2 linked regions of the Canis lupus familiaris genome follow. The protein of the gene in region 1 binds, or shares a complex with, the protein of each later gene. Links are inferred from orthologs where the notes say so. Each region holds a gene or a part of one and is shown on either strand. Other genes may lie near its edges. The genes, in order: GRM5 and HOMER1.

Region 1 (15,388 bases):
TGAGCACTGAGTGTTATCCTATATGTTGGCAAATTGAACTCCAATAAAAAAAATAAAAATAAATTAAAAAAATAAGGTAGAAATGTGTATGATTCAGACAATCATGTTTGTATTGCCCTGGCATTCCCCCGCCCCATGAGATTATGGTCTGCTGAATTATAAAGCAATGACTGCTTCACGATCTGCCTTGGATGCACACAATGGCTATATTTCACCAATATTAGCTATGAGGCTCACATACCTGGAAAGTACATTTTGAAATAAATTATCACTTGGAAACTTGACAGAACTATGCTACAAGTTGGCTTATTATAAGGTTAAACAAGTCATTCCATGTGCTCCCAAAATACAAGAAATGAATAGAACATAAATTCCAAATAGACCAGTCGGGTATACACTAGCTCTAGTGTGCCATCACTCATTTGTCCAATACGTGTTTATCAAATAAATATTATGTATGAGGCTCTGAGGTTTCAGTTATGGACAAAGCAAACATAGTCCATGCCCTCCTAAAGCTTATACTTTAAAGGGGAGTTGTCGGGAGGGAAAAAGAGGGAAAAAATAATAATAAAAAAATAAAGGGGAGTTATCAGATAATAAATAAGGAGGCAAAATATTTTATGTGCACAGTAATAAGGGTTAAAAATAAGAATAGAAAAAAAATAAGAATAGAGCAGGGAAGGAAGATAGAGTCAGAGATGTGGGAAAATTTTAATAATGTAGCGAAGAAGTATACACTTTAAAAGTAAAATCTGGGTAAATATCTAAAAGAAGTAAGAGAATGAGTTGTGCAAATATCTAGGGAAAGAACATGCTATGTAAAGGCAGAATCAAATGTAAAGCCCCTGTGGCAGACTTCTTTCTGCTTCTGCTTTGTATGCTGAGAAACAGCAAGGAAGCTAGTGTGACTACAGCTTAGTAAAACTGGGGGAGAGAGGAAGTAAAGTCAAGAGATAGGACGATCATGTGGACTCTTTTTGGATTTTAACAGGCTCGGCTTTAACATCAGAAGAGAGTGACTTTCTGGAAGAGTTTTCAATAGAAGACAGAACACATGACAGAACAATGACCAACATTTCAACAAGAATTAGGGCAAAGGCCGAACTGAGAGGGCAGTTAGGAAATGTCTGCAAAAATCCTGGTAGGAGAGATGACACTGGCTTGAATCAGGGAGACATAGCCCTATCAGCAGAGAAAACTGGCAGAAGACAGAGTGGAAGAGTTTGCTGTCAGATCTGAGTTGGAATATGAAAGAAAAATAAGGATCAATGAAGACACTAAGGTTTTTGGCATGAGCAAATAAAAGATGGTACCACATTGACTGAGGTGAAAAAAGCCATGGAGGAGCAGATTTGGGTGGACCTAACAAAAAGTAGTTTTGATATGTTAATTTTTAGATGCCTTACAGAAATTCAAGATGAAACATTTATTAAGCAGTTGGATATAAGAGGTTAAATTTCTGAGAGAGGTCAGTGTAGGAGATAAAAATGGGGGGAGGCATCACTATACAGATAACTGTTTTTTGTAAACCATGAAACTAAATGAAATCACCTAGGAAGTGCAGAGAGAAAAGAAACTAGTTCTGAGACTGAGCCCCAGGGAATTCCAATGGTTCAGTTCCCAGAGATGAGGAGAAACCAGCAAAGGAGACTGAAAAAAAATTGATATAATTTAAAATATAAATATGATACAAATATAAAATACTGAGTGTGCATGCATGCATGTATAAGATCTGGAAACATACACACTGACCTTTATAGGATGTTCTCTGAGTGGTGGGAAGATGTGTCACTTTTCATTTCTTCTTTGTCTTTGTCTATGTTTTCTAAATTTCTACATTTACTATGAAAATATATTATTTGTTATATTAGTTTAAGTGTGGGACTGAGGGATCTGCCTTCTAAATTTCTGCTCCAGTATTCCTTGTGGCCTTATCTCCCTTGGATCTGCTCTTCCTTGGGAGTCTGCTAGTCAAGCAAATTTGTGTCTCCTCCACTGCTTTACCCAATGGTTTTGTTCATGCTGCTTCTGATCCCTGACATGCTCTTGCTTCAGTAGCCTTTATGGTAGAGTTTTTAAGAGCATGGTCTTGGAATCAAATGGACCTGGGTTTGAATCCAAATACTGCCATTTGTTGGCTATGTGCCCTTGGTCACCAAGCCTCTCTGAGCCTAATTGGAATGACAATAGTATTACCCTAAAGGGTTTTAATGATGATTGAATGAGATAATATTTTTAAATAGTCCCTTTATAAAATCGTCCCAGATCCTTCACCTTGTGTTTGCTCTATTCCCTGAACTCATATGGCATTTTTATCGATACTTTGTTGTGTCTATTACTAAGCTAATATTATAGCTATTTATACATGTTCTAGCTTCCTATAGACTTTGGATCCCTTAAAATTGGTACTATATATAGTATCTGGTATAATCCTTGCACAAGATAAATGTTCAATAAATCCTGCTGAATGAACAAATAAATAAAGAATTGCCTCCACTGGGCTTTCTGGTCAACCACCTAATTGAGGTTCCAAGATAGTATCTCTTGCCCCACCCTAGAAAATTGAAAAATGTATTCAGGCAACAGAGATCATCAAAAAGAGAAGCAAGGACTGACAAAGTAGTAGGCAGAAAACTTTAGTGTCGGTGAGGCCATTTCTCCTTAGCTGTCTCCCCATGAGCTATATTCATTTACTTAATAAGGGTCTGGTAGGGGGGAAAAAAAGGAGGGGAAAAAGTAATACTGTATTACTTTTTCAATTTATAGAACCTTTTTCCATTATCAATCCCACTTCAACCTATAACAAAATTACTGCCAAGAACATCTGATTGTCCCATTTCATATATCAGGAAATAGAGTCTCCAGGAGAATAAATTATTTGCTTTAACTTATAACTCTGAGATGGTAGAGGTTATAGATCGGTAGCAAAAAAAAAAAAAAAAAAAGAAAAGAAAAGAAAAAGTGAGGTTCTTGTTACAGATCAGGAGGCGGAATTAACTAATACAGTGATTTAAAGAGCTTTCAAAATGCTACAGATCTACAACCTAATATATGGAAAGCTTTAATTCAATCAAAAGCAGGAAATGATAGGAGTTTACATAGTCTAACATATAATAAGTTGGTTGAGGGTCTTATTTTCAGAACCACTAGTCTGCTTTATTCAATAATATATTTCTTGGCTTACAGCATAATAAAATTAATCACTACCCCACTATAGAAAACAGTAGACATATATTTAATATGTATAGAAGTATTTTGCCTAGGTAGTCAGCCTCCTACTGTATCCTAAATGAATATGAAGAAAAAATGTTGGTGGGTAGAATTTGCATAAATGGCAATTTACACTGTAACCAGATTCACAGCTCACATTGTCTTTTATTTTCAACAATCTTCTCAAACACTGGCCATCTTTCTGGCACAGATGTCTCTTATATAACTTAATCCCCACACAAGAAAATCACACAGTTCGAGACATCAACACTAAAATGATTCCTTCTGCCTGAGCAATAGCGTCATCCCAAATAGACAGGGGTGTCAATATTGCCTATGCCATGAATGCCTTTGATGTATTTTCCTGAAAACAAGTGCATCCCAGAGATAAGAGACACTATGAGGTATGATACTGAGAGCTTATAGTCTAGGAAAGCTCCACTGCTGTAGCTATCTCAAGCACACATCTGTGACCTTGTAAACAAGAAAGTCCAGCACCCTCTCTGTTTAGCCCAGATCCAAAAATATGCCATATTTTCAATGAAACCCCCTAAAAACCAGAAAAGGGCTATAAAATAACATTGTATAAAAGTGAAATCTGTAATTTTATGCATTAATTAAAAGATGCTGGCACTAGAATAAAGCTTACTGTAGATCACTGTAAATCATTAAACAACTGGTTTAGTAGTCCATGAAGACCTGAAACAGCCTTCTACAGCAAAGCAATAAAAATGATGTAATCTACTGTTAACTAGTCTCAATTTAATTATCAAGCAGGGATTCCAGGCATCTTCCCATTTTGCAGCCTTCAGCTGCTTTCTTGTTATTTATGGCATACCTCGAAAGACTGTAAAGCATTATTGTGCATATTATATTACTTATCATCAGGTGCTTGAAAATGTGCTTTTGCACTTCTAACTCGATCTCTACTTACTTATTAATAGCTAATATTTATTGGGTGCCTGCTTTGTGCTAAATAATGTTAAAGCATTATTTAATGTAAGTTCTCAAAATAACCCTGTGAGGTAGGTATGATTACTACCTACGTTAAATATCTCTAGAAATTGAGGTTACAAGGTGAAGAATCTTGCCAGAAGTCTCATACTATAATAACTGGCAGAGTCAGGATATGAACCCAACTCTCTCTGGCTCCAAAGCCCACACTCAAACATAATCAGATGATAATGTCTCCCAAAAGACCAAGTGGGTTGGCTGGTTAAACCTTATACATTGTTTGCAAAACATTCTGGAGACTCTCTACTTTCCATTTAAAGTTTATGTATGCCAGTCAACTACATTTAGAAGCCATACAAACCAACTAAATTAACAGATGTAACTCTATTTCCTATAGTTATTTAGATCATAATTTCCCAACCTCAGCACTGTTGACATTTTGTTGTGGAGGTTTACTGTCGTGTGCATTGTAGGATGTTTAACAGCATCTCTCATCTCTGGAGATCCCAGGTTTCCAGATGCCAATAGCAAACATACCTCCTCTAAGTTGTGACAAATAAAAATGTTTCCAGACACTGTCAATGTCCCCTGTAGGTCAAAGTCATCCCCAATTGAAAACTGCTGATTTATATCCTGGCAAGGTTTATATAAGCATCAAAAAAGAATACAACTAAGAGCTAATCATCTGGATTCGTCAGTCCCACAAAACTTTTTCCTGAAACATCCTAATAATTTAAGGAGAGTAGTTTAGAATAGGTTTTTCCTGTTCCTTCTTTACTTTGTAATTTGTTTCTGGCTGTATTATATTGTTTTGAAGCTTGTAATTTCAATTCGAGAAATACAGATTAAACCTTGAGAGTGAAGGATATTGCCTTACTTTAAATAAGCATGATTCTAAGTAGCCATAAGTTGTAATAAATGAATGAGAAGAGTATCCTGTGATACACTGTTATCATTTCAAAGACTATTTTTAGTATGAAATATAAAGTTCATTTTAGTTTTAACAAGATAAAGAACATCTTATACAGTAATTACATGTTGGTTTTTCAAAATGTCGTTTTTATTTTTAAAAGAATAATTATGTTATTTACCTTCTTGTCTGTCTTTAAAAAGTATGATGACATCATTGAATATTAAGGCAAATTGATTTTTAAGAAATATTTTTCAATTATTCCTCTGTAAAATATAAATGTAAACAGGCTATATTATTATTATTATTATTACTATTATTATTACAGTGCCCACTAGCACCATTATGATTATGATCTTTTAATTTTCCTCAGAACATTTATGTTTAAGAGCATAAAGTTGAAGAGCAAGTTTAAGAGCAATGGCAAATAGCCAGAGTTACTGTGAAAGCTGATCATTAGAAAATTATTCATAGGTCTGATATCTTTTTTAAAGATTTTGTTTATTTATTCATGAGATACATACAGAGGAGAGATGCAGAAACACAGGCAGAGGGAGAAGTAGGCTCCATGCAGGGAGCCCAACATGGGACTAGATCCCGGGTCTCTAGAATCACAGCCTGGGCTGAAGGCGGCGCTAAACCCAGGCTGCCCCAATGGTTTTTAAAACCAACAGAATCAAAAAAAAATAAAAAATAAATAAAATAAAATAAAATAAAACCAACAGAATCATATTTACATAGAATACATTTTTTCACATCTAAATATTTCCTTTAAATTTCTTAACGAGTTTGATGAAAATAAAGGAAGATAAATTTGAAACAGCAATTATGTACCAACCACAGGATTGCTACGAAAATTAAATTCAGTAACATGGGAACGCTGAATTTGATATTCAAAGGCCTGGATGGGATTAATAGTTATAACTACCATTTCTACACTGTTCATTGTGGGTCTGGAACTTTGCTTATATTTGTACAATTAATTCATTGTGATTATACAATGCGCCTTACAGTGTTACAACCTGTTTCTCCTGGAGCCCAACGTGGGGCTTGAACTTACAATCCTGACATCAAGACCTGAGCTAACACCAAGAGTTGGACACTTAACTGACTTAACAACCAGGTGCCCCCCCGTTCATCATTTTAAAATGAGGAAAGCAGAGGCAGAGCAATGTTAAATATCTCACCCTAGGTTACATAGCTAGTAAGCCACAAAGATGGGATTGTGGCTTACAATTCAGGCAATCTTGTGTAGGGGTCTGCCCTCCCAATCATACCACAACTTACTGGAAACCACAGTGAAACAATTCCATGGTGTTTAGCAATACCATAGATTAAGGTTACCTAATGTAATGAAAGAGGGTAAGTTTGATTTCCAAGCAAATGAGATGTGTGCATTTATTTATTTATTTTTCCCATTTCCTCGTTATATGACAGTGGAAGGAAAAAAAACCAACTCCGTTTTCACAATAGGAAACTAAGAACAAATATTGCCTTGCACAATTGTTATAAGGATTAAATAACACCAATGCTTGGCATGATGCCCACTGTACTCAAGAAAGGGTAGTCGTTGGAGCAAGGATGAGCCTGAACCAAGACTTATGCTTGGTTCCTTCCCCTTCTGATTCAAGGTACATATAACTCAAACAAGCTGAGAACTGGTAAATTCTAGATTTTTTTTTGTCTTCCTCTGCGAATTTAAAGGAAATGAAAGCAAGACTATGGCATAATGTTTTTTAGAACTATGTTTTAACTGAGATAAATACCAAGAAGATACTGTCTTTTACAAATAGTTGAAAATTCCAAAAAAAATTTTGATTTTATTTTCTTGGGTTATACAAGCAATCACGAACTAAAAAATATTTCTTTTGATGCTCTTCCCTTATGCCCTCCTAAGCTCCACTTATTAATGAAAATAATAACTAAATGATGTTTCAGGACTATCATTAACATTTCTCTGAATTTTTAAAATAACACATATTTATAAACTGTGGGATGTTCCTGCATTGTAGTAATACACCATCAGCATATCCAAACTCCAAACCAACAAACTAGCTTTAGCATATCATATATATATATATATATATATATATATATATATATATAAAGATAGTCTTCACTATTTTATAAAGTTAGTTTATACTCTATTTAAATAACATAACAAAGAGTATATGGAAGAATCGTCGAATGCATCTCTCTCTTCACCCCATTAGGACAGAGAGCCTGGAAGAAGATGGTTACAAATAAGTACAAAATTTTTCAAGATTTTAGTGCTATCTCATATTTTCTACCTGTATTTTTACCTATGCTTTACTGGCATTTATTTTAGTTTCTTATCTAAAATGCTCTGAAAATTCCACAAAAGAAAATATAAGACTATATAAAATCTCTAATATGTTTTGAACAAAAATGAGAACGTTAGAATTATTAAAACCCTTCAGTCACACAAGTACTACATATTTTGTGCTGGTTGAACAAAGTTTTCACTTTAGTGTCTGTTACCATGTCCATCACAGACTACGAAATGAAGGCAGAGGCCTGTGTCTCCCTATGGAAGTAAACTGAAGAACTGGGCAAGTACTTTGGGTTCTTCAAATATCACCCTCTCTCCCAAATAATCTCAGTATGTCCTTCAACAAATCAATATTGCAGGATTTGGTTTTTCTCTGGGTACAACCCATGGCCCAAATACTGCCATGTGATAACAGAGATCTAGGTGGTGCGATGAAAATATCCAGATTATACATTTTTGTCAAGCAGAGTATAAATGACTAGGGAAAGCTTTTCTCTTAAAAGAAGCAGTTATGTGGAAAGTATTCTATCCACAATCTTCTAAGAAACCCTGAAGGATCTGTCCGGAGTGCTGAAAAGGTCCCCGCTGGAGAAGGCTGAAGACTGGAATGTGTATCAACCTGATTAGTTCAGGAAGCAGTATTTTCAATTCCCAAACCAAACATCCTTTTAAACAGAAATTTAAATCTATAAAGGACAGAAGTCATTACAACTGATTCTTAAATGTGTAATTCATAGACACAAAAGAGAAATTAAAGAAGAAAATTCCTTGTGCTCTATGACGGTAATGAGGGGCACAAAGCACACCCAGCAAGAGGTAGCATACCCGAACATGCCAAAACTCAAAAGAATGTCTAGAATGTTGTATAACTAAGAGGATTCTACAGAAAACCTTGGCTTAGCCCCACTGGGGGAAGAGGCTGAACATAGTAAAAGGCAATGTTAACTTGGCTGTCTCAAATGGCCAGAAGCCAATGTTAAGAATACAGATTAGCTCTGGCCCAGCCTCAAGGGACTCAGAACAATAAAACAATACGTAGGGAATGAAGAAAGAGGTGGAAAGGAGATGCTGCCTTCCTACCGGCCTGAGTCCATTTCTAAGCGGGAAGTAAAGTGTTGGAGAATCTATCTGCCTGGTTACTCAAGCTTACAGTTCAGCTGAGGCAGCACCAGGATTATGCCTAAATAAGCAAAAGTGCTTGTTAACCTCTCCTCAATTTCCCTTTCCCACAGCACCCGCTCCGCAGGGAAATGAGGGCAGTAGGAAATTCCAGCACCGATCCCAAGAGTCTTCCAGGCAGACTCTTCCCTTTGCGAGGTCCCAAGTCGGGGTTAGGTTCTGGTCACTGGCTAGTTCATGGACCTGACTGGGGTTCTTTCCACAAGCGGCTGTACCCTGAGATCCCTCCTCGGCACACCGCTCATGCTGCCGCTCCTGGGTAACTAGCAGGCTGTGTTTTGGAAGGGAAAGATGCATCCACAGAAGAGGAAAGAGCCGGAGGACGCAGACCGGGGTTCAGGAATAAGCACACTAGCCTGAGTGAAAGAGCTGTGCTTTCAGCACCACCCGCTGTCCCCCCTCTTCCTGCAGCAGGCACCACAGTCGCTGCATCTTACCGATCTAATGGGAAGCGATTCTCCTTCCTTCCCTCTCCACCTTTGCTTCTCTCAATTCCGAGCCCTGGGGTGGTTTGGGGCAGCACAATCTGCATTCTAAGCACGCGCACCTGGCCTTAGGGAGCGGGAACTCGGATCCGAAGGCATGCAGAATCCCTTTCTCAATTCTTGCCGCCATTCCCTCCTTCACCTCATTGCTCTCGCCTTTTCTCCCAACAGGTTTAACTAAGGCCATCAGCAAACGGAGGGGACTTCAACCCCGAGGTCTGGCCAGCCTTGCTCCACGCTCGTCCCACTCCCAAACCAACTGTGAGCTATCCAGCAAGCTGATAGCTCCTACATCCTTCCCGGGCACAGGGACACTTGGGCACACAGACCCTTAGCAAGCTTACCCCCCTGTTGGCCGCGCAGCTGGCAGTGAGACGTAGTCTAGCTAGCCCCCCATAAAGTTGGGCTGTGCTGATCAGCGGGGCAGAGCCGGCCTCTCCATTCCCAGGCTCCCCACCAAGAAGATCTTAAGCTCATCTCCTGCGCTCAGTGCGCACAGAACAGCAGAGCTGAGGGCGGCGTGTGCAGCAATCTCCCTGCTACTGAGGAAGGGGGGAAGGGGGGGAAGGGGAGCTCGCGGAGGAGGGAGGGGTGGTAGTTTGTATTTATAGAGAACAGAGTTCTCAGCGCAACTTTTTGGTGCCACCAAGTGGCACAGTGAGTTCCTTTAGGAACACAGACTTCGGGTCGAATCTGGATGGGTGAACCAGCTCTGAAGCCAGATGCTCACATGATAAGGGGATCTGGGGCACCCCTACGACTTGAGTTTTCCCATATGCACCTTCATACCTCAGTACCTGGGATGCAATCCCTGAGGTCTAGGAATGTGCCTGCATGGAGGGGAAAAAAAGTACCAGTGCCCTCCTCGGACAAGTGGCAGAGGTGTCAAGGACAATGGGCAGATGCCTAGGAGTCTAGGAACCCTTGTCTCAGGAAGAATATCCATTCTCCTCTCCCTCCTAACCCCTCTGTCCAGATCACAGTATTCTCAGATCTCATTCTAAAACCATCCTGCCATCTGGAGTGCCCAACCTTTAAAGTAAAATGCCATTCATTTTCCTTGTATTACAATCAATTCCAGATTATTTCCCAAACCCTCAGATTCAAAGAATCTCACAGCTTGCCACCAAACCACATCCTTTAATTGCTACCTTAAAAAAGCAAGTGACTTTAGGCTCTGTGGATCTGAATCGCTCCAAACAGTACTCAGAACTCTAGGTTCCCTTGGTTAGAGTCTAAGTGTCTGTTTGTCCTTCTCATCTATTTCCACAGACCTCTCAGCATGCATTACACCAAGTGCACAGCCAGGAGCTTGCAAATGTCTTTGGTACTTTGAGGGAGAATGCCCTGAAGCTTCATTTACCTGGATTTTCTAGGTGCTCTTTCTTCCTTGTATGCAGATCCAAAAACCCATATGATCATCGACAGACACTACTCTATGGAACTTTAGTGTCCTCAAACAAAGAAGAATGTCTACATTTTGCAGAAATGGAGAAACTGAGTACACGAAGGGATTTTTTTCAAGGTCACACATTTTCCTCAAGACCAACCCAGGAACTACCCAGGATAGGACTGAATTAACACAGTGCTATGTCAAACCTGACTTCCAGGCTTCCACTCCTTCTATCGCCCCGTTCACTCATTCTCAACTCCCTTTCCTCCCCCAACCCCACCCATCCCTCCCTCTGACCCCATCCTTTGCCGAAGTTCCATAAAGAAATCTAGTGTAAGGATGTTTCCTTATCCCCACTGGCAGTACACGAACCTGAGCTTACAGGTCCGGAGTTACATGGGTACCCCTTAAAAATGGCCCCCTGTTCTAGAAAACCTCTCCCTCCTGTAGTGCAGTCATGGAAGTGTCATTTTAGAAATGGAACATTGGCATTCACACCCAACCAGGTCCCTCTCTTGCTGCCTCCTTTCAAGGTAAAGCATTAGCAAATGCTCTTATTAGCCCTCAAACACCCAAGGGTCTCAAGGATAGATAAGCCCCCCCCCCAACACACACACACACACTCCCTTGTTATGCACCCTTTTGTGCACATGTATCGGTATGCGAGAGAGAGAGAGAGAGAGAGAGAGAGAGAGAGAGAGAGAGAGAGAGAGAGAAATCCAAACGCCTCCTTTGGCTCAGATCTCTATTTTCTCCTCTGATTTTTTTTAGTTCGTTTTCTATGGAAACGAGCCCACTTAAGTCCCTCACTTATGCAAATAAAAGCAAAATGATCTTCATAAACCTCTCACTGGAGCGACGCCGCGGCAGTCTGGGCTCCCGACTAGAAATTCGTGTCTGATTCACACAGCACACGTCCTTGCGGGCTGACTTCTCCAAACTTGCAGGACCTCGTGGCGTCCCTGGCCCCACCGGGGCTCCACCTGCCGCCGCTGCCCTCCCGGGGCCCGTCGCCCGCGCTCCCGCCCTCGCCTGCGGGCCGGGCTGTCTGCGCCCGCGCTGGGGGAGGGGCTCCGGCGGCCCCGGCGGCTCCGGCATCGGCGGGGACTCCCGGCTGGAAGAAAGCAGACCGCGCTGTGCTTACCGGTGCGCGCCCGAGCCCGGCAGTCGTCGCGGGCTTCCTGCGCTCGGGTGCCGGCCTCGGCCGCGGCGGGAGCTGGAGCGCGAGCGGCGGCGGCGGGAGCGGGGGCGGGGGCGGGGGCGGGGGCGGGGGGCGGAGCGGCCCCGGGGCCCGCGGCGGTGGCGGTGGCGGCGGCGGCGGCGGCGGCGCTGTCTCTCGGCGAGCTCCGGGGGCACGTGCCGCGCTCGGGCAGACGCCGCTGGCAGCGCCGCGCAGGGCCGCTTCCTACTCCTGCGGCGCGGCGGGGGCGGGCGGGGCGGGGCGGGGGCGCGACCCCGGCCCCGGCTCGGTGGGTGCGGAGGCTCGTGGCGCCGCGGAGCCTGGGGTGCGGGCGGGAGTTGCCCTGGGCTCCCTGTGCAGGTCCCCGCTTCGCCCCGGGAGCCGCGGGAGGGGGAGAGCGGCGCGTGGAGGCGCGGAGGCGTGGGTGCCGTGGGCGCCGTGGGTGCCGTGGGTGCCGTGGGCGCCGTGGGTGCCGGGGGTGCCGTGGGCGCCGTGGGTGCCGTGGGTGCCGTGGGCGCCGTGGGTGCCGGGGGTGCCGTGGGCGCCGTGGGTGCCGGGGGTGCCGTGGGCGCCGTGGGTGCCGCGCAGCTGGCGGAGCCGCTCCGCGATGAGCTGCTGTCGGGCCGGGGCGCGTAAAGCCCTGACGGCGCCTGGGAGAAGGGGCGCCGCTGCCCGACGGTGCGGAGAGCCGGGGACCCCAGGACGACCCGGAGGGCGAGTGCTAAGAAAGAACAGTCTTCGATGACGGCAGCGCGCGTTTGCACGTCTCGCAAACGATTCTTTCTATATCCATTAAAATTTCTTTCTCCGTAGTGAATATGTTTTACTTACTCGAATGACTTTCCTCTCCGTCCCCCACCGCCCCCATAACTACCAAGACTGTAAAAAAAAAAAAAAAAAAAAAAAAAAATGCTGAAGTTATCTTTAAATTCCAAAACCAGACCTCATGTCTGCCTCTGAAGACGAGATTGCTATGAATTAATTGCATGGCTTAATTTAAAGAAAAGAAAGACATTGTAGCAATAGGATTATGACTATTCCCATTATATTTCCCTAAGCTGAATTTTAGAAGCCAGGTGCTTGCCGCCGTTGGATGAAAGACTAAGAGCTGAGGATACTCCAGTTGAGGGGGCTGGTCCTGATGATCCCCTACTAATGTGCATTTCCCACCAGACCCTTGAAAACAAAGCAAGTTGTTCTTTGATAGCGTCGGTATTCAACGAGAGAAAAGACATGTTATCCGCCACACCTTGTTGATCTTGACAATGGCATCTCTCTTCTCCCCTCTTTCCTGTGTGCTCTCACGGTGGCATTGTTAATTTCTCCGGCTCTTTGATTGCAGTCCAGGAAGCAAGCTTTGGTACTTTGCAGACAGGCCAGCAAAGCCGTGGTTGATCTTCCTGAGTAAAAAAAAAAGATGAGAAAGATGGTACAGATGAGAAAATACAAAAATAGTGAAAGTTCTGAGGAAAATGAAGGGGAACTAGTGGCTCCCTGATTGTGGAGCTTTGATCAAGTTTGATGTACAGAATGATTTGTTAGCCCAATTGGGGGACTGATGATAAGGACGAGATCATAAATGTAATCATGGCCTGGACCGCTTAGCTTTGAGTGAGCATAGGACCCATTAGGTTTCCTATCCTTCTTGGTCAGTTGGAATTGGCTCAAAGCACATCAGTGAGTGGGCTAAACCTAAGTAAGAGGGGTTCTCACAGTGGCTACTCAGTTAGTTAAACTCTTCAATTTCTTACACATATTTTCTGCCCTGCTATCTGCCAGGGTTTGTGGAGAGGATAGGATAAGACATGTCAGAGCATTGTCAGAAATGATAAGGCACCCTATAAATGGAATACATAGTTTATTAAGACATATCCAAAAAAAAAAAAAAGACATATCCACTTCATATGCTCTAAAAGTTACAATGCAAAGGACATTCCCCATGTTGAACAATAGTGATATTTTCAGCTGAGAAGGAAAACACAATTATATAATCTTGAATTGCTCGGTGACATTTTACAATATAGCTTTACCTCAAAATGGTCAAGTGCTAAATTAGGTTAAATTAAAATTTAAAGGAACAAAGAAACAACGTTTTGAGTCTCCAAAATAACTTTTGATTGTAAAACATTTGAAGGTACGACTTTTGCCTAGGATGAGCTATTAATAATCAATATATTGTAAATCTTATGTAGAATAGTATAAAGGAATGAAAAATTTATTTATACTTATAACTGATTAAGTTTAAAACTCGGAATTTTCATTGATTCCTTTTTTTCTCTCACACATGGCAATTGGTCAGAAAATGACTCTACCTTTGAAATGTATCCAAAATGCTGCCACTTCTAACCATCTTCTGGGAAACAGTGTTGAATCAAACTACTCTCATCTTTTATCAGCAATAGCTTCCAAACTGGTCTTTTTTGCTTCTTCACTTTCTCTGTAGGCTGTATTCAACACGGCAGCCAGAGTGTTTTTTTGTTTTTGTTTTTTTAAAGAAGTTAGCTTAAATCAAAACCCTCTGGTAACTTTCCATTTCACTCAGAGTCAAGACCCAAGTCTTTACCATGACTCTACATAATCTTTCCCTACTCCGTTACCTTTCTGATCTCATTTCCTAGTACTCTTCCCTTTTCTTTGCTCATTCTGCTCCAGCCGCCAGGACTCCCTTGCTATTTCTTAAACATGCCTGACATGCTCCAATCTAATGGTCTTTGCATTAGCTGTTTCTTCTGCTTGGAATACACTGTTCACAGGTAATCATTGGGCTAAATTCTCTCCTTCAAATCTTTCCTCAAATCTTATCCCAAATAAGTATGCCCTAGACTACCCTACTTAATACTACAAACTATTCTCCTTCATGATCTCAGGGTCCCTGATCCCCTTTATTCAGTTTTATTTTCCCTCATAGCTCTTAATACAGTCCAGTATACTATATCATTTACTCATTTGTTATGATGATTGTCTGTCTATTCCCCTCCCTCCCATTAAATGTAAACTCCTCAAGGAAAGGAATCTTTGTTTTATTGATATATTCCAAGCACTCAGAAGAAAATTCTAGCACATAGAAGCAACCTAATATATATGTTTTAATATTTAAATGTATATGTGAATAGAGGTATACATTGTACACACTGTCTTTCATATTCCTAGTTGGTATCACTGATGGTAAGTCATATGAATGTTTGCAGGTCTGCAAGACTACTGAGTGAAAGCACTTGTGCCCAACCTGGACATACTTCCCCACCTCTTACCCTCTTCCGTATTTATATTTGTGCTTCTTAGACTTAGCCAGTTCATGTTCTGTACTCCAAAAGGATTACTGTAATCCTAAATGTTTCATAATTATCTGGTTATCTGAATCCATCAAATATCAGATTATAAGTAGCCTTTTAAAATAATTTCTCAAAGTGAATTTATTTTCATTCCTCTAATGGTAACTCATCAAACATTTTTTTCCTTGCCTGTTACTATAAAAAGAACTGCAATAGAATGAACAAAATACTGGCTGGACTTTAGAAAACCTAATGTTATTAAGTATGTGTATATGAGCATATATGTGTTTATTGATTTGTTCATACTATTTATTTTGTATTTATTAAGCTACCATGCACCAGGCATGGCTAAGTATTGGGGATGAATGGTGAATGAATTAGAATTGGTCTTGGTCTTTAGGAGCTTAAAGTCAAGTAAGGATTGGGTCACACAAACAAATATGTCTTGCAACCTGTGGGAGGGGCAATTTTTCATTAGAATTGAGCAAGGCAAGTTATAAAGAACAGCATGG
Region 2 (15,083 bases), on another chromosome or scaffold:
TTAAGTTCACTATTTAGGATGTTTGATTTGGGGCACTGTGGACTAATTTTACCCTATGGAAACAGAAGAGACTGATATATAAACTGGACTAATTAATGATTTATCAAGAAGTCATTAAAAATGCATCTTCTCCCATAGAAAAAAATGCCACCGTGGAAGCTATTGTAATCAGAAGGTTGATTGAAGGTTGTACTTTGTTACATGTCCAGTGCTGCGCTTTGTGCATTGATCCCCACTTGCCAACCAGGTACATCAGGGCCCTGGAGAGTGCTAGAGGCACTGCCCCATCACCTCTCAGAAATCCCTTTTTCTAACTTCCATAGTTATCTGCTTTCCTGTTACACCTTCTTGAAGAAAGTGAAACCCTTGAGGAGGTTTTATGCTTACTCATTAGCCTGATCATTCCTGCCTGAGTTTACAGCCTCATCTTGGTTGGATTTGAGGAGCTTAGATAGACTCCTACTAAATTTTTTGAATCTAAACTCTGTGTTATGGAAAGTTCTAAGCACATAAAAATCTAAAGAGAATTGTATGATTAACCCCTATGCATCTTTGTCACCATGCTTCAAGAGTTAACATACCTAAGGTGTATATTGTTTCATCTGTATTGCCTGTCCCTCTTCATATTATTTTAAAGTCTAGACCTCATACAATTTTACCTATACAATTAGATTTGATTAATAGATTTCGTGAGTCTTTCAATCTGTAACAGCCAGCCGTCCCTTTTTTGTTGTTTATGGAATTTGTCATCTAGAAATTTTCCACATTCTGAATTTGGCAGGCTGTATTTTCACCGTGTCATTTAACATGTTCCTCTGTTCTCTTATTTCTGGTAAACTTGTAGCTAAATCTAGGCTTGACTGAATTTAGGTTTGAATTCAATCCCCTGCCCCCAAGAATATGTCATAAGTGGTGTGATATTCTTCCAGTGTGTTGTATTATGACAGAAGGCACATAAGAATTTCTTGGCATTTCTTTTTTTGTATGTTAAAATTGATCAGTGTTAATCAGTTAATCAGTTAATCAGCTTGATCTATCCATTATATTCTTTCCATGAAATCATTATATTTTAATTCTTCCTAATTTTGTTCTCAAGGAGTACCTTGTCAAACGTTGTTGCCTTTCTTCTAATCCATTCTTCACATACAGCCACAATGATCTTTTATTTATTTATTTTTATTTTTATTTTTTTTCATGATGATCTTTTAAATATAAATCGGATCACATACTACCCATAGTGTCCCATTACTCAAAGACTAATACCTATCCTTTCTATACCTCATTTTATGCCATTCTGTCCTTTGAGAATCAGTATGGCATTATTCATAGCATAGGCTTTTGCATTCGACTGCCTGATTGTGTAACTTTGGGCAAGTCATTCAACTATTTTGTGCTTCAGTTTTCCATGTATAAAATCAGTATTTAAGAATACCTACCAACAGGATTGCAATGATTAAATAATACATATGAGTCACTTGGAACAATGCCTGTATAACATAAATACTGAGTGTTAGCTGTCAGTTGCTGCCGGTGTTGGTGCTGTCATTTCCAATATCTGTGTCTAAGCCACACTGTACTTTATAATTTTTGGAATTGCCAAGCTCTTGCCAGCCTCAAGATATTGCATGTTGTTCTGTCTCTTGGTATATAACAAACTGCCTAAAACTTAGTGTTTTAAAATAATAGCAGTCATTTAATTAGTTGATGAATTTGGAACATGGGATAGGGCTTAGTAGGAATGGCTTATCTCTGCTCTCTTTGGTTCTTGGCTGGGATGGTTTAACTAGAGGCTGTAATATCTACTTTTAAAGAGTCATTCATATGGTTGGTGAGGTAGTGTTCGCTTTTCACCAGAACTCAGCCAGGACTGGGCCTTGGTTTCTCTCCATAGGCTGATTGGCTTTACTCAAAGCATGGTGACCAAGTTCTAAAAGTGAGAGCCCGAAGAGAACCAGGCTGATGCTGAATGGCCTATTACAACTTAGCCTCTGAATTTACACAGTGTCACTTTTGCCTCTTTATTTTGGTCCAGACAGCCATAAAGGTCCATTCAAGTTTAAAGAAAATGGACATAGACTCCACCTCCTAATAGGGGGATGACAGGGTCCTAGAAGAAGGACAGAGTTACTGTTGTAGCCATCTTTGGAAAACATGTTTTAATATACACATGCTGTTGTCTGTGCCTGAAATGCTATTATACTCTGATTCTTACTCTTTAACCAGCTACCCAATTTAAATTAGTTCCATCTTCTTCCGTTCCTCTTGTGCACTCTCTTTCTCATAGTTCTTTATTTTCTTTGGCAACACTGATAATAGTTTGTAATTCTCTCCTGAAGTCCATGAAGGCTAGAGCATGTTATATACCTTGTATTAGGCATAAAACGTGTTGAAACATTAAAATGTATGATCAGTAACTTAAAAATTTTAATCCTGGGGCATCTGAGTGGCTCAGTTGATTGAGTGTCCAACTCTTAATTCTGGCTTAGATCTTAATCTCAGTGTCCTGAGATCGAGCACAAGTTGGGCTCTGTGCTCAGTAAGGAGTCTGCTTGAGATTCTCCCCCTCTCTCCCTTCCCCCTTTGCTGTGCACCCACGTGTGCGCTCTCTTTCTTCCCCAAATAAATAAATTAATTAATTAATTAATTAATCTTAAGAAAAAATCTTAACACCATGTATCACATTTCCAATAGGAAAAGCATATTCCAAACTTTGCAGAAGGAAGGGAACAGAGATACAGAAACACCAAGAGTCAGTCCTTTAACTTCTCATATTTCATGTCCTACTGCCTAGCCTGGGGTGAGGATGGGATGGAGAGGAGAAATGTATGTGTATAAATTTTGTGGAGGAGAGGAGATAGATGGAGTAAGCAGTTTGAATAGCTAAATCATAAGTACGTTTTCTCTTCCCTTATTTCTCTAGTTCATGGCAAGAGGCTTTTAGCTGGTTTGACAAAGAAGAATGATAGCCTAGGAAATATTCAGTACTCTCAGAGCAGCCAGATAGATGTTCTTTACTCAAGGTAACCTAACCACACACACCCTCACTCAGAACCAGTGTTCTTTCACTTTTGACACTTATCTAACAAATCAGTTACTGGGTTTCTCAGCCTCTTGGTGGTTGGGTAGGGGAAAAAAGAACAGATAGTGGGGTACAGATAATAGTAAGAACAGCTGTTGATATATCGGATATTGTAAGACTGGGAATAGTAATGTGTGTTAAAAGTGTCTACAAATTCTAAAGGCTCATTCACTTTAATGAATGAATTTCTCATTCACTTAAATACTTCCTTCATGCCACCTTGTTGGGTGTTGGAGACCTAAGAGTGAACAGAATGCACATGACTCCTGCCCCCATGGAGCTTGCAATCTGGGGATGGGAGTAGACTTAAGATGAGTGTTTGCAAAGTATATATTTTTTATCCTATTGACTTTTAATGTATATGTGTCTATATTTTAAATGATTTAAAAATTTTTTGTAAGTATACAGTTGGCTTTTGCTTAATATCCAATCTGATAAACTCTGCCTTTTATTTAATTTTATTTTCCTTTTTAAGGATTTTATTTGTTTATTTGAGAGAGAGAGCCAAGTACAAGTAGGGGGAGTGGCAGAGGGAGAGGGAGAAGCAGATTTCCCGTGGAGCAGGGAGCCCAATGCGGGGCTCAATCCCAGAACCCCAGAATTGTGACCCAAGTTGAAGGCAGACACCTGAGTCTCTGAGGTACCCCAAACTCTGCCTTTTAATTGGGGTGTTAGAAAATGTACATTTGATATCATAATTGATATGATTGGGTTTAAGTCTGCCGTTTTACTTGTTTTCTGTTTGTTCCATCTGGCTTTTTTTGTTCCCCACCCTCATCTCTCTTTTGACTTATTTTAGCAGACTTACTTAAGTATCTTTTATGGCTCCTTTCATTTATTTTATAGACTTACTATATTTTGAGTCTTTTTTTCTTTAATGATTGTTTAGGGTTTATAGTATACAGTTGACCATTGAACAACACCAGTTTGAACTGCACAGGTTTACTTATATGCAGATTTTTTTCAATCACTACAGTACTATAAATGTGTCTTAACATTTTGATAACATTTTCTTGTTTCTAGCTTTATCGTAAGGATACAGTGTGTAATACATATAACATACAAAATATGTGTTAATCAACTGTTTATGTTGTTAAGGCTTCTGGTCAGCAGTAAGCATTTGGTTAACTTTTGGGGAAGTCAAAAGTTATACATGGATTATTGACCACACAGGAGATCAGCAGCCCTAACCTCTGTGTTGTTCAAGAGTCAGCTGTGTAACTTATCACAGACCTTTGGATGGTATTGCATCACTTCACATATAATAAGAACCCTATAGTAGTATATATTGTATTATCCTCTACCTTTGTGCTATTGATAAACATTTTACTTCTCATATAACCCCACAATACATTGTGATTACTTTTTGCTAAAACAGTCAATTGTTTTTTAAAGAGATTTTAAAATTAAGGAAAAAATAGTATATTTACCATTTTTGATGTTCTTCATTCCTTTAAGTAGATCCAAATATGTACATGTATCATTTTCTTTTACCTGACACTTCTTTAATATCATCATCTCATAGTACAGGTCAACTGATGATGAATTCTTTCAACTTTTGTGTGTCTGAGAAAATCATTTCACCTTCACTTTAAAAGGAAAATGTTTTTTGAGATAAAATTCACAATGCATGAAGTAACCATAAACCATTTTAAAGTGTATAGCATTTGTTACATTCACAGTGTTTTGTAAACATCGTATCTGTCTAGTTCCAAGCTTTTTTCATTATTGTAAATCTGCTTTCATTTTTGCAGAAATTTTTCTGGGTAGAGAATTTTTGATGAGGTTTTTTTTTTTTCCTTTCTTTATTTTTAAGATGTTTTTCTGTCTCCTGGTTGATAGTGTTTCTGATGAGAAGTCCGCTGTCAAATATTTTTTCCATCCCTCCCATCTTTGAGGACTTCAGGTGCCATTTATGTGTCTGTTTCTGTTGATTGATTTTTGCGCTGATAGTATTTTTAAGTGTTAGATATTTAGAATTTGTTGATTAGGTGCTGAATTTTTGTATTTTTAAAATATTCATTAGAGGATCTAATGAAAGAAGTAGGATTTTTTTTTAATATTTATATGGTGATAATTGCATATGGTGATAATGCTTGTCTTAGAGGAAGTAGAAAATAGTGTATTAACATGACATAACAAAAGTCTATAACTTAAGAGATTTTGAGTTGGTTACTGTGTTATTCAGAAGTAAAGAAAAAGGAAATTTAAGTTTTCATTACAAACACCATTCACTTCTTTGGAAATAGTGAAAGTCATGGGCTTTGGATTTAGTCTTGCATTTGAATCCCAGAAATACCAGCACTAGCTGTGACCTAGCTTTGTGTTAAACTCCCCCCTCCTCCAATAAGTCTTTTTTTTTTTTTTTTTTACTCTTTTTATCTCTTAATGTTGTTTTGAGATGAAAATGAGTGTGTATGTGTGTATACATATATATATATATATATGTTAATATAAGGTGTTTACATGTAATAGGAATTCAACAAAATGTTGTGTTTTCACTTCAGCCCATCCTTCAACTGTTTCATTTTTGCAACAATACTACTTCTGGATAACACATTGATTTGAAGTTTGGTGAAATGGGGAGAATAATAGTCACTACTCAACTATACTTGTTATTCTTAAGCAATTACTGTAACTCTTCCCATAGCAATAATTTGTTATTCCTGAGCTTTAATTTTTATCAAATTACACTCAGTTGAAGATACCCAGTTGGTAAACAAATTGCCCAAAAGTGCTTTAATATTTTCAAAATTGCTTCTATTAAGATTTTATGCTGTTTTTCAGGAATTCTTCCCATACTGAGTCAACCTATTATTTGAGGAATAAAATCAGAAATTTATTTTTAATAGAATTTAGAATAAACTAATTCTGTAAATGGAGAGTTAATAGATTTTAACCGGATGAAGATTTGTACCATAGTCCTTAATCCATGGTTTCACTTTCAGTGGTTTTAGTTACCAGCAATCAACTGTAGTCTTGAAGCAGATGTGATGAGATGAAGGTCCATAGTAGCCTAACACTATGTCACAGTACCTACAACATTCACCTCACTTCATCTCATCACATAGGATTTTATCATTTCACATCATTACAAAAAGGGTGAGTACAGTATATTTTTTTGTGATAGACCATACATCAAACTTTTTTACAGCATTTTCTCTTTTATTATTAGTTATTATTAATCTCTTACTGTGCCTAAGTTATAAATTAAACATACACACACACACACACACACTCACACACACATACACACACACACACACACGGAAAAACAATATATAGGATTTGGTACTATCTTTGGTTTCAGGCATCCAGTGAGGGTCTTGAAACACTTCTTGCAGATAAGGGGAGGACTACTGTGTCATCTGTTATCATGTTAGTCTCCTATGTCTGCTGTAGCAAAACAAAGTTGGTGGCTTATAACAACATGGATTTATTTTGTTAAGATTCTAGATGTCAGAAGTCCAAAGCCTGTTTTACTGAGGGTGAAATCAAGGTGTCAGCAGGGCTGTAGTCTTTCAGGAGGCTCTAGGGGAAAATGGTTTCCTCCCCTTTTTTACCCTCTAGAGTTAAACTCCTTGCATTCACAGTTCATGGCCTCTTCCTCCAACTATAAAACCAGCAGTGTATGCATCTTCCAGTCTCTCCCTCTCCTCCCTTTGTCACATAACCTTCTTCTGGAGTTAAATCTCCTGCTGCCACTTTCTTATAAGGACACTTGTGATTACATTTAGGGCTCATCCAGATAATCCAGAAGAATCTTTCCATCTGAAGAGCCTTAACTTAATCATAGCTGTGAAGTTCTTTTGCAAAATAAAGTAACATTCGCAGATTTTAGTGTTAGGACCTCCATATCATTGGGGGCATTATTCAGCCTTCCACAGTCTTTGAAAGGGGATATCAATAAATCCTATTTTTCAAATGTTAGTGTTTTTATGCCATCCTATATTTCAAAGCCTGTTGGCTTACTGAAGTCTGTTAACTTCTCTTTTCTGTTGACTATTTTCAATTTTACCTGGTAAAGTATGTTTTTTCTGCCTATGTCAACAAATATTTAGTTGTGATGATTCACAAGAAAAACTGTCTTAAAAGTCACATCACCGGGGAGCCTACGTGTGGCAATTGAGCCTCCGATTCTTGGTTTCAGCTCAGGTCATGATGTCTCAGGGTTATGGGATCGCATGGGCTCCCTGCTTAGTGGAGAGTTCGCTTCTCTCACCCTCTGCCTGTCCCCCTGCTCATGCTCTGTCTCTCAAATCCTTTTTTTTTTTTTAATTCACATCATTTTTAGGGAATTTATAAGTGGTTTCTAAAGTAGTTCTTACAACCCATTTTGCAGAACTTGTTCTTATGGAATTTAGCCTTTCTGATTATGTATGTGTGAATTCTGTAATAGCTCAGATGGCTCTTATTGGAAGTATACACAACTTCCCCACAGTACAACTAGCTAGGGACTTAATTTTTAAAACTGAAAGGGAACATTTCCCTGGAACAACACCTTTACCCAAGGTGAAATATTCAGTGAAATGCTAGAAGGATTAAATCTTTAGTAGATGTTTTTGCCACAAAAAAGAAACCAAGATAGGGAAAACAATGGGAAGAAAGTAGAAAGTATTTTTGCACATGTACAGCTCCTAGTTTGTTAAAATATACATTTTCTTCCTATCATGTAATCCTTTTCAGAAATACCATATGTGATGAAATTTAGCCAGTGTCTGAAACAGATAGGAGATAATTTGGAGTTCATAACTTCTAGTCTCAAAGACCAGTGCTTTCCCCTCACACAGGCTAACATTATTATTGTTGTTGTTGTTGTTATTGTTACTGTGATCTGTTACAGAGGTGGAACCATTCTGTCAAAATACAGATTAGAGAGTTATGTTTCCTTGCAGAAGGAAAGCTCAAGAACTATGATAATTGAGATGACTAAAAATAAGTTATTGAATCCTTCCAAACTACACTGTCATTCCAATGAAGTCTTAAAGTACAAATTGCTTTCAAAATACAAGTAAAACATAAATGATACCAGTGAACATACATACATTCCATGAAAACAAATACTCCCAACAGTGCTTAACATGCACAGTAACCATAGTTGTGTAGCATACTATCCCACTTCTGTCAACAAAATTAGAGGGAAGGGCCATGCAAACATTTGGTTACAGCGTGAACTCATGACAAAAGAATTATTTTCCCATCCAAGGAGTCACTATAGGGTAAAGTTGGGCACTCCAGAGCTAAATTATATTTGTGTGCCAGCTCTACCAAGTGTTATCTTGAGCAAATACCACTCCATATACCTTAGGTTCCTCATCTTCAAGAGAGGAATAATAGTACCTCATAAAGGCTGAGAGGATTCAGTAACACAGGGATAGCAGTTACAACAGTGTCTGACCCTATGTTTAGCCTTCAAAAATGTTAACTATAACCAAAGAATTTGCCATATACGCATTTATAAGTTTAAGCTTTTGCTTTCAGGTTTGAGTGGCATATCTGAATTTCTCATTTTGAATTATCCAATCTATGGCTTTCCTCCTTCGGCATAAATGATGGAAGCCGTAATTTGTGTGCTCATTAATTGATACAAGAGAAATTGTTGAGAGTTCACATCATACCAAGTGCAAAAGGTTAAAAACTGTCAACTTTTTTGTCACTGACTTTTTAAAATTCAAAAGCTAGTTTTTAAGCTACTCAGTTTTTATGATATTAAATCTGTAAGCTTTCGATTTATACAGAGAATTTCCACTTATTATCAAAAAATCAAGAAAATGGTAAAGCAGGACAGTTGAAAATAGTGTTGAAAAGAAGCAGATGAATAGATAGATGATATCATTACTGAGTAAAAAACAGAACATGGCTGAGTTTCTTGGCAAATGAGCCGAGAAGTGTGTTGCATTGTAGTCTTACTTGGATATAACAGCCATAGATGAATTTTTCCCTTGCATGGTCATAGGAGATACTGAGTAACATCAGGATTCAATGGGAGTTTCTTTTATCAATCTGTTAAGAGATCTAAGGAAGAACTACTTTTTTTTTTTTAAAGTTTTATTTATTTATTTGAGAGAAAGAGAGCACTCAGGAGCTGGACGCTGGAGGGAGAGGGAGAGAGAATCCAAACCAGACTGCATACTGAGCGCAGAGATCCTACAACCGTGAGATCATGGCCTGAGCTGAAGCCAAGTGTTGGCCACTTATCTGACTGAGCCACTCAGGTGCCCCTCAAGGAAGGACTTTATTTATTTATTTTTTTAACATTTTATTTATTCATAGAGACACAGAGAGAGGCAGAGACACAGGCAGAGGGAGAAGCAGGCTCCACACAGGAAGGCTGACGTGGGACTCGATCCCGGGACTCGAGGATCACACCCTTGGCTGAAGGCAGCACTAAACCGCTGACCCACCCTGGCTGCCCAAGGAAGGACTTTAAATCTTAATTCAGTGTAGGCTTTTAAGATGAGAAGAAATTTGCCTTCTGGCTGTGTTACTAATGGGGTTTAATCTTATAGAATTTAGAATAGTTAACAGGTTCCTTAAGCAAATACTTTTGATATTTCTGCCAAAGTACCTTAATAGTAGAAAAGAGTATCATTTAGGATACTAAGGATAGGAAGGTATCTCTTTTGTGGTATGACTTAGCTTATAAATTCATGTGAACTTTTCATTCTTTTCCATAGTCTAACCATATTTATTTCTGATGTGATTTTTATTACCATGATGTAAAATGTTGTGGGGAGACTTGCTGTGCTCACGTTGCTGTTTGTAGTACTCTTGTTAATACCACTTCTCTCCCTTTTCTTGAGAAATAAGGCTACTTGTTTTTCTCAAATGTCTCAAAAGAGCATTCAGTTGAGACTCCGGAGCTCTTTCTCACATGGTGAGAGGCTCTTTCTGACTGGGAGAGATTTAACACTAGGTATTCTACTTTGCTCACTCTAGAGTATGGCTTTTATGGAATAACTGAGAACTGGTTCCAAATAGTTGCACGAGGCAACCTTAATTAGATTCCTGGTATCATCCACTTAAAAATTGTGAAATGTCTGCCAGACATGAAGGCTTCAGTAGAATTGGTACTTTTTCTGTTTGTCCATTGGTTCAGCTACTATTTGTATTTAGTTAATTGATCATGATATTCTCTTCTATGTTGGCTGGGAGAACCAGTTAGGAAACTTTTCCAGTTTGAGATGAGTGGCTTTCTTAGAATTGGTATCTTACGTGATTTTGTAGGACAAGCTTGCTGGTTCAGAGTGACACAGGAAGTTATATTATTTGTTATTTGTTGTGTAAGATAATTCTAGATATCATTACACATCATAAGAGAATTTTGAGCAGACCTAGTTGATGGAGAAACTTGCATCAGTGGGGATTTGTGGCTGATTTGTAGGAAGTATTCTATGGGCAAGAGTATTCCCAAATCTATTATTTGCTGGATGAATCCGTTATCAATAGGGCTATATTTTTAACTGTCATTTACGTTTTTTTTTTTTTTTTAACTTAAGGCCTATATTTAGTAAAGGGTGCAAACATACAGTTCATTGAATGTTTACATATGTATTTATCTGTGTAATCACCAAGATAATATTCTACTACTTACATTTTTTAAAGCAAGCAGATACATTCATTGCATTACAATTGTTTGCTTAAACTTTTTTTCTTATTACAAGTACAGTGCATGTTCACATATTGAAAAATTAAGATTAAAAAGTTGCTTATAAATCCCATAATCAAGAACTCTGTGTGTTTTAGTATACATTCTTTCATTCATTCACTCATTCATTCATTCTTAGGTGCCTAATGTGTGCCAGGTATTTGGGTTGCTGGGGACATAGCAATAATCTAAAAAGACATAATTCTTGCCCTTGAGGAGATAACATTCTTGCCGCAGGAGAGGGACAGTAAATAAGAAAACACATTGGATGTCACATGGTGATATGTCAGGGGGGGAAGTCAAAAGAAGGGGTCGGGGGAATAGGGAAAGGAGCTGCAGTTTTTCATAGAGGAATCAGAATGGCCTCACTGAGAACATAATGTTTGAGCAAACAGCTGGAAGAGGCAAAGAAAAATACTAGACAGATTTGGAGGGAAAGATCACTTCCTTCAGGCAAAGGCCCTGTGGTAGGCAGTGGTGGACATGTTTGAGAAACCCCAGGAAGGCCAGTGTGGCTGGAATAAAAGACAAGTGGCAAATGAGGTTGGAGAGGCAGGGGCCACATCCTGTAGTGGTTCTTCCTCCTGGCTACACAGGAGAATCACCTTGGAGGCTGGGTGTTTCTAACGCAGCCAGGGTTGAGAAACATTGGTAGAAGGCCTTTAGACCATTTTAAGGACTTTGGTTTTTACCATGAGTGAAATGGGAAACCATTGGAGGGTTTTGAGGAATGACTCACCTGATTTAGGTTTTATTATTTTAAAATATTATGAAAATAAAACTTTCCTGAATCATCATCCCACCTGCTTCAGTAGCCATCTCCATTTTGCTTTAGTTAATATACCCTCACCCCTCCCACCCTTTTTACCCCCCAGAGTATTTTAACACTAGCTTAGGTTTTTAGAAGGATAACTGGTTTCTGTGTTGAGAGGAGGACAAGCAGGATGAAGGCTGAATATAAGTATATCCTCTGTGGGGTTTTTTTCCTTTTATATTCCTTTTTTTTTTTTTTTTTTTTTTTTAAAGATTTCATTTATTTATTTGACAGAGAATGAGGGAGCACAAGCAGAGGCAGCAGCAGAGGGATAGGGAGAAGCTGATTCCCTACTGAGCAGGGAGCCAATGCAGGACTCCATCCCAGGACCCTGAGACCATGACTGGAGCTGAAGGCAGATGCTTAACCAACTGAGCCACCCAGGCACCCTTTCCTGGATACTCTTAAACAAAAATTAAATTATACTGGATTCACTATTTTATAAACTATTTTCCTTGACTATATTAGACATGTCACTGAATAGTCAATTACTTTGTTTTTAATGGCTACATCGAATTTTATTATATTGGCTGCACCTTAATTTATTTGGTCTTACATTATTGAACATTTTAATTTATAACCTTTGGTAATCAGACTATGTGGTAATACAGCCCTTTAGCTAAATCTCTGCGTATACCCATGATTATTTCCTTAAGGTAAATTCCTAGAATGGAATTGCTATGTCAAAGGATATGCACAAAAATTTAAAGGCTTTTGATATGCATTGTCAAAGTGTTTTTCAGAAAGGGTTTACTAATTTATACTCCCACCAGCTGTTTCTGAAAGTGTCAAGTTTTCTTAAACTCTCACTAACATTGAAATCTTTCATTAAAAAAAAAAAAATTCCTGTTTTGACAGGTGAAAAAATAACTCATGGTTTTAATTTGCAGTTCTTTGATTTCTAGTGAGGTTGAATTTTATTTCCATTTGCATTTAAAAAATGCTTATTCGTATCATTTGCTGATTGTGTTACTTGGGGTGAGTCACTTAGGACATGTTTTTGTACTATGAAATGGGTATTGTGTGCCAGCTTCTCAGAGTTTTCACAAACTTTAAACAAAAGCATTTTGTATGCCCAGGTTTATAAACTGTTTGACTATGATCCACAGTAAAAAACAAAAGGCATCTTACGTTGCAACCAGCATTGGTAAATAAGTAGCCAAAAGTTTTATGAATAATGCTTCTACTGTATCCAAGTGAGATGCACTCTGACACTTTACATCCTTGTTCTTTTTTAAAATGTCCACTGTTAACCTTTAGTTGATCATGATCCTCTGGGTTGTGATGCAGTGTTTAAAAAAACACTGCTATAAGCTGTAGAGTACTGTATCTTGTTAGGTGCTTTTCTATCTACAGTGATTACCTCTACCAAATACCCTGAACGTCAGTCTGCCCTTTAGCTCTACCAAAATTCGCTTCAGAAAGGCTATAAGTAGGAGGTAAGACTCCAAACTTAGCTTATTATATTCCTATATCAGGTTTTTCATCAGTGAAAAATACTAAATTTATTCACACTCTGAAAATGTACTTGTTTGGACTTCTATAATGCCATAATGACTGAATTATTAACATGGCTGTTTTGAAATAGATCTAATGCATTTGAACAAAAAAACCTACATCATTATGGGGATTGTATTTGCAAAACCCCCAATTGAGACATAGCATCTGACAGAAGTTTTGTCTATAATTTTTGGTACCTGAAAATCTGACAAAAGTGGGAAATGCGAATCACATTTAGCTATATTTAATACAGCTCTTTTTCAGTAGAACAAATTAGTGTATGAAAGTTGAATAGTCCTGAGAGACTAAGAGTATGTGGCTTCCATATATAAAATCCAGATACTATTCTAGCTAACCTAAGTGAGGACCACTCAGAAAGGAATTAGCCAGGTGGAATTATTAGCTGTGACTGGAGAAAACTCCATTTGATGGGAGTGATTCTTTCAAGTCTGAGGAATGTTGGAATGGAAATTGCATAGAGAAACAGAGTGGGGATGGGGTGATGGTGTTTACTATTTGAAAAACACCCAGGAGTTTAACCTATTTAACAATAAAACCTTGTTGTTACTTTTGACTTGTAGTTTAACATTAAATTTTTTTTTAAGATTTTATTTATTTATTCATAAGAGACACAGAGAGAAAGAGAGGCAAAGACACAGGCAGAGGGAGAAGCAGGCTCCATGCAGGGAGACTGATGTGGGTCTCTATCCCAGGTCTCCAGGATCACGCCCTGGGCTGAAGGCAGCGCTAAACTGCTGAGCCACCCGGGCTGCCTGACATTAAATATTTTGTTTAAAAAATATTTTTTGATGCTAAGCCAGGAAAATTTTTAAAGACTCTAAGTTAAAAGTTTGACTAAAAAGCATTTACTACTCCTCTGTTCACCCCTCCACAAAGGAAAAATTTTAAGGAAGGTGAGAAACAATTTGGCATATAAAAATTAAAACTAAATTTAATACCAAGGAACTGTAATTTACCTTTGAAAAAGAGCAGAATATATATGCCGTTTCTATACTCTATTGATTTTCAAACATTAAATGTCATCACATTTAGAAAAATAAGCAACTCTGCTTTTCTGTACTTTAGTGGGTGTTGACCTTAATTAAGTGTGCATATGTGGTTAGAATTATGAGATTTCTCTTTGCATATGGTTTGAGTGCTGAATTTTGGATTCTGGTCTCTTCACTCTCTGAAGCTAAAATTAGGTTTTAAACAAGCTCAGAAATAAGTGTAGAAATCTACTGGGCTCAAATGGGCCAGAAATATATGAAGCATTCCTCAGCCTCACTAGTAATCAGGGTTATGCAAATGAAAGCAACAATGAAATACCATTTCATGCCCATCAAGTTGGCAGAAATTAAAGCTGTCACTTGGACATTATCAAGTGTTGGGAGGAAATAATCTAAGACTATTAGAATATAAATTGGTCATGTGCTGTGAAGAACAATTTGGAAATATGCTATGGCGCATACTCTATGACCAGGAATTCTTCTAGTGTATCTTCTTGCATGTGTGAACAAGTAAACACACAGGGGCATTCTTTGTAATAGTATGAAAATTAGAACCTATGTATGTCTATCAGTAAGGAAATAGCTACATAAAATAGTCCAATATTTTCCAGTTGAAATACAATGTGAACATCATGTGCAATTTAAAATTTACTCCTGGAGTGCCTGGGTGGCTTAGTTGGTTAAGCGTCTGCCTTCAGCTCAGTTCATGATCCCAGGATCCTGGGATGGAGCCCTGCATATTGTCTCTATGCTCAGTGGGGAGCCTGCCTCCTCTTCTGGACTCTACCCCCATGCTCTCTCCATTGCTTTCTCTCAAATAAATAAATTAAATCTTTAAAAATAAATACATAAATAAATTTAAAGTTTTAAAAAGGTAATATCAATTTTAATACATTTTGGCACATTATACCAAAATATTTATCTTTTAAACGTGATTAATATAAAAATCATTGGACTATTTTACATTCTTTTTTCATACTAAGTCTTTGAAATCCCTTATGTATTTTGCACTGAGAGCATATCTCCATTTCG

The links.
Region 2: the proteins of GRM5 (region 1) and HOMER1 are in contact, whole or in part, in a crystal structure (PDB 1DDV), measured with the Rattus norvegicus proteins. The link is inferred for Canis lupus familiaris from reciprocal best matches to the Homo sapiens genes GRM5 and HOMER1. Residues at the interface, in XP_006229721.1 of Rattus norvegicus: Thr1155, Pro1156, Pro1157, Phe1160; in NP_113895.1 of Rattus norvegicus: His12, Phe14, Trp24, Thr70, Ser71, Gln72, Lys73, Phe74, Gly89, Phe90.

What each region holds. Positions count from the first base shown.
Region 1 is NC_049242.1:11,067,114-11,082,501, reverse strand, and holds the start of GRM5 (metabotropic glutamate receptor 5), read right to left. Parts: upstream 9,567-15,388; 5' UTR 9,376-9,566; intron 1-9,375. UniProt on the Homo sapiens protein: G-protein coupled receptor for glutamate. Ligand binding causes a conformation change that triggers signaling via guanine nucleotide-binding proteins (G proteins) and modulates the activity of down-stream effectors.
Region 2 is NC_049224.1:27,537,910-27,552,992, forward strand, and holds the start of HOMER1 (homer protein homolog 1), read left to right. Parts: upstream 1-6,062; 5' UTR 6,063-6,077; coding exon 6,078-6,181; intron 6,182-15,083. UniProt on the Homo sapiens protein: Postsynaptic density scaffolding protein. Binds and cross-links cytoplasmic regions of GRM1, GRM5, ITPR1, DNM3, RYR1, RYR2, SHANK1 and SHANK3.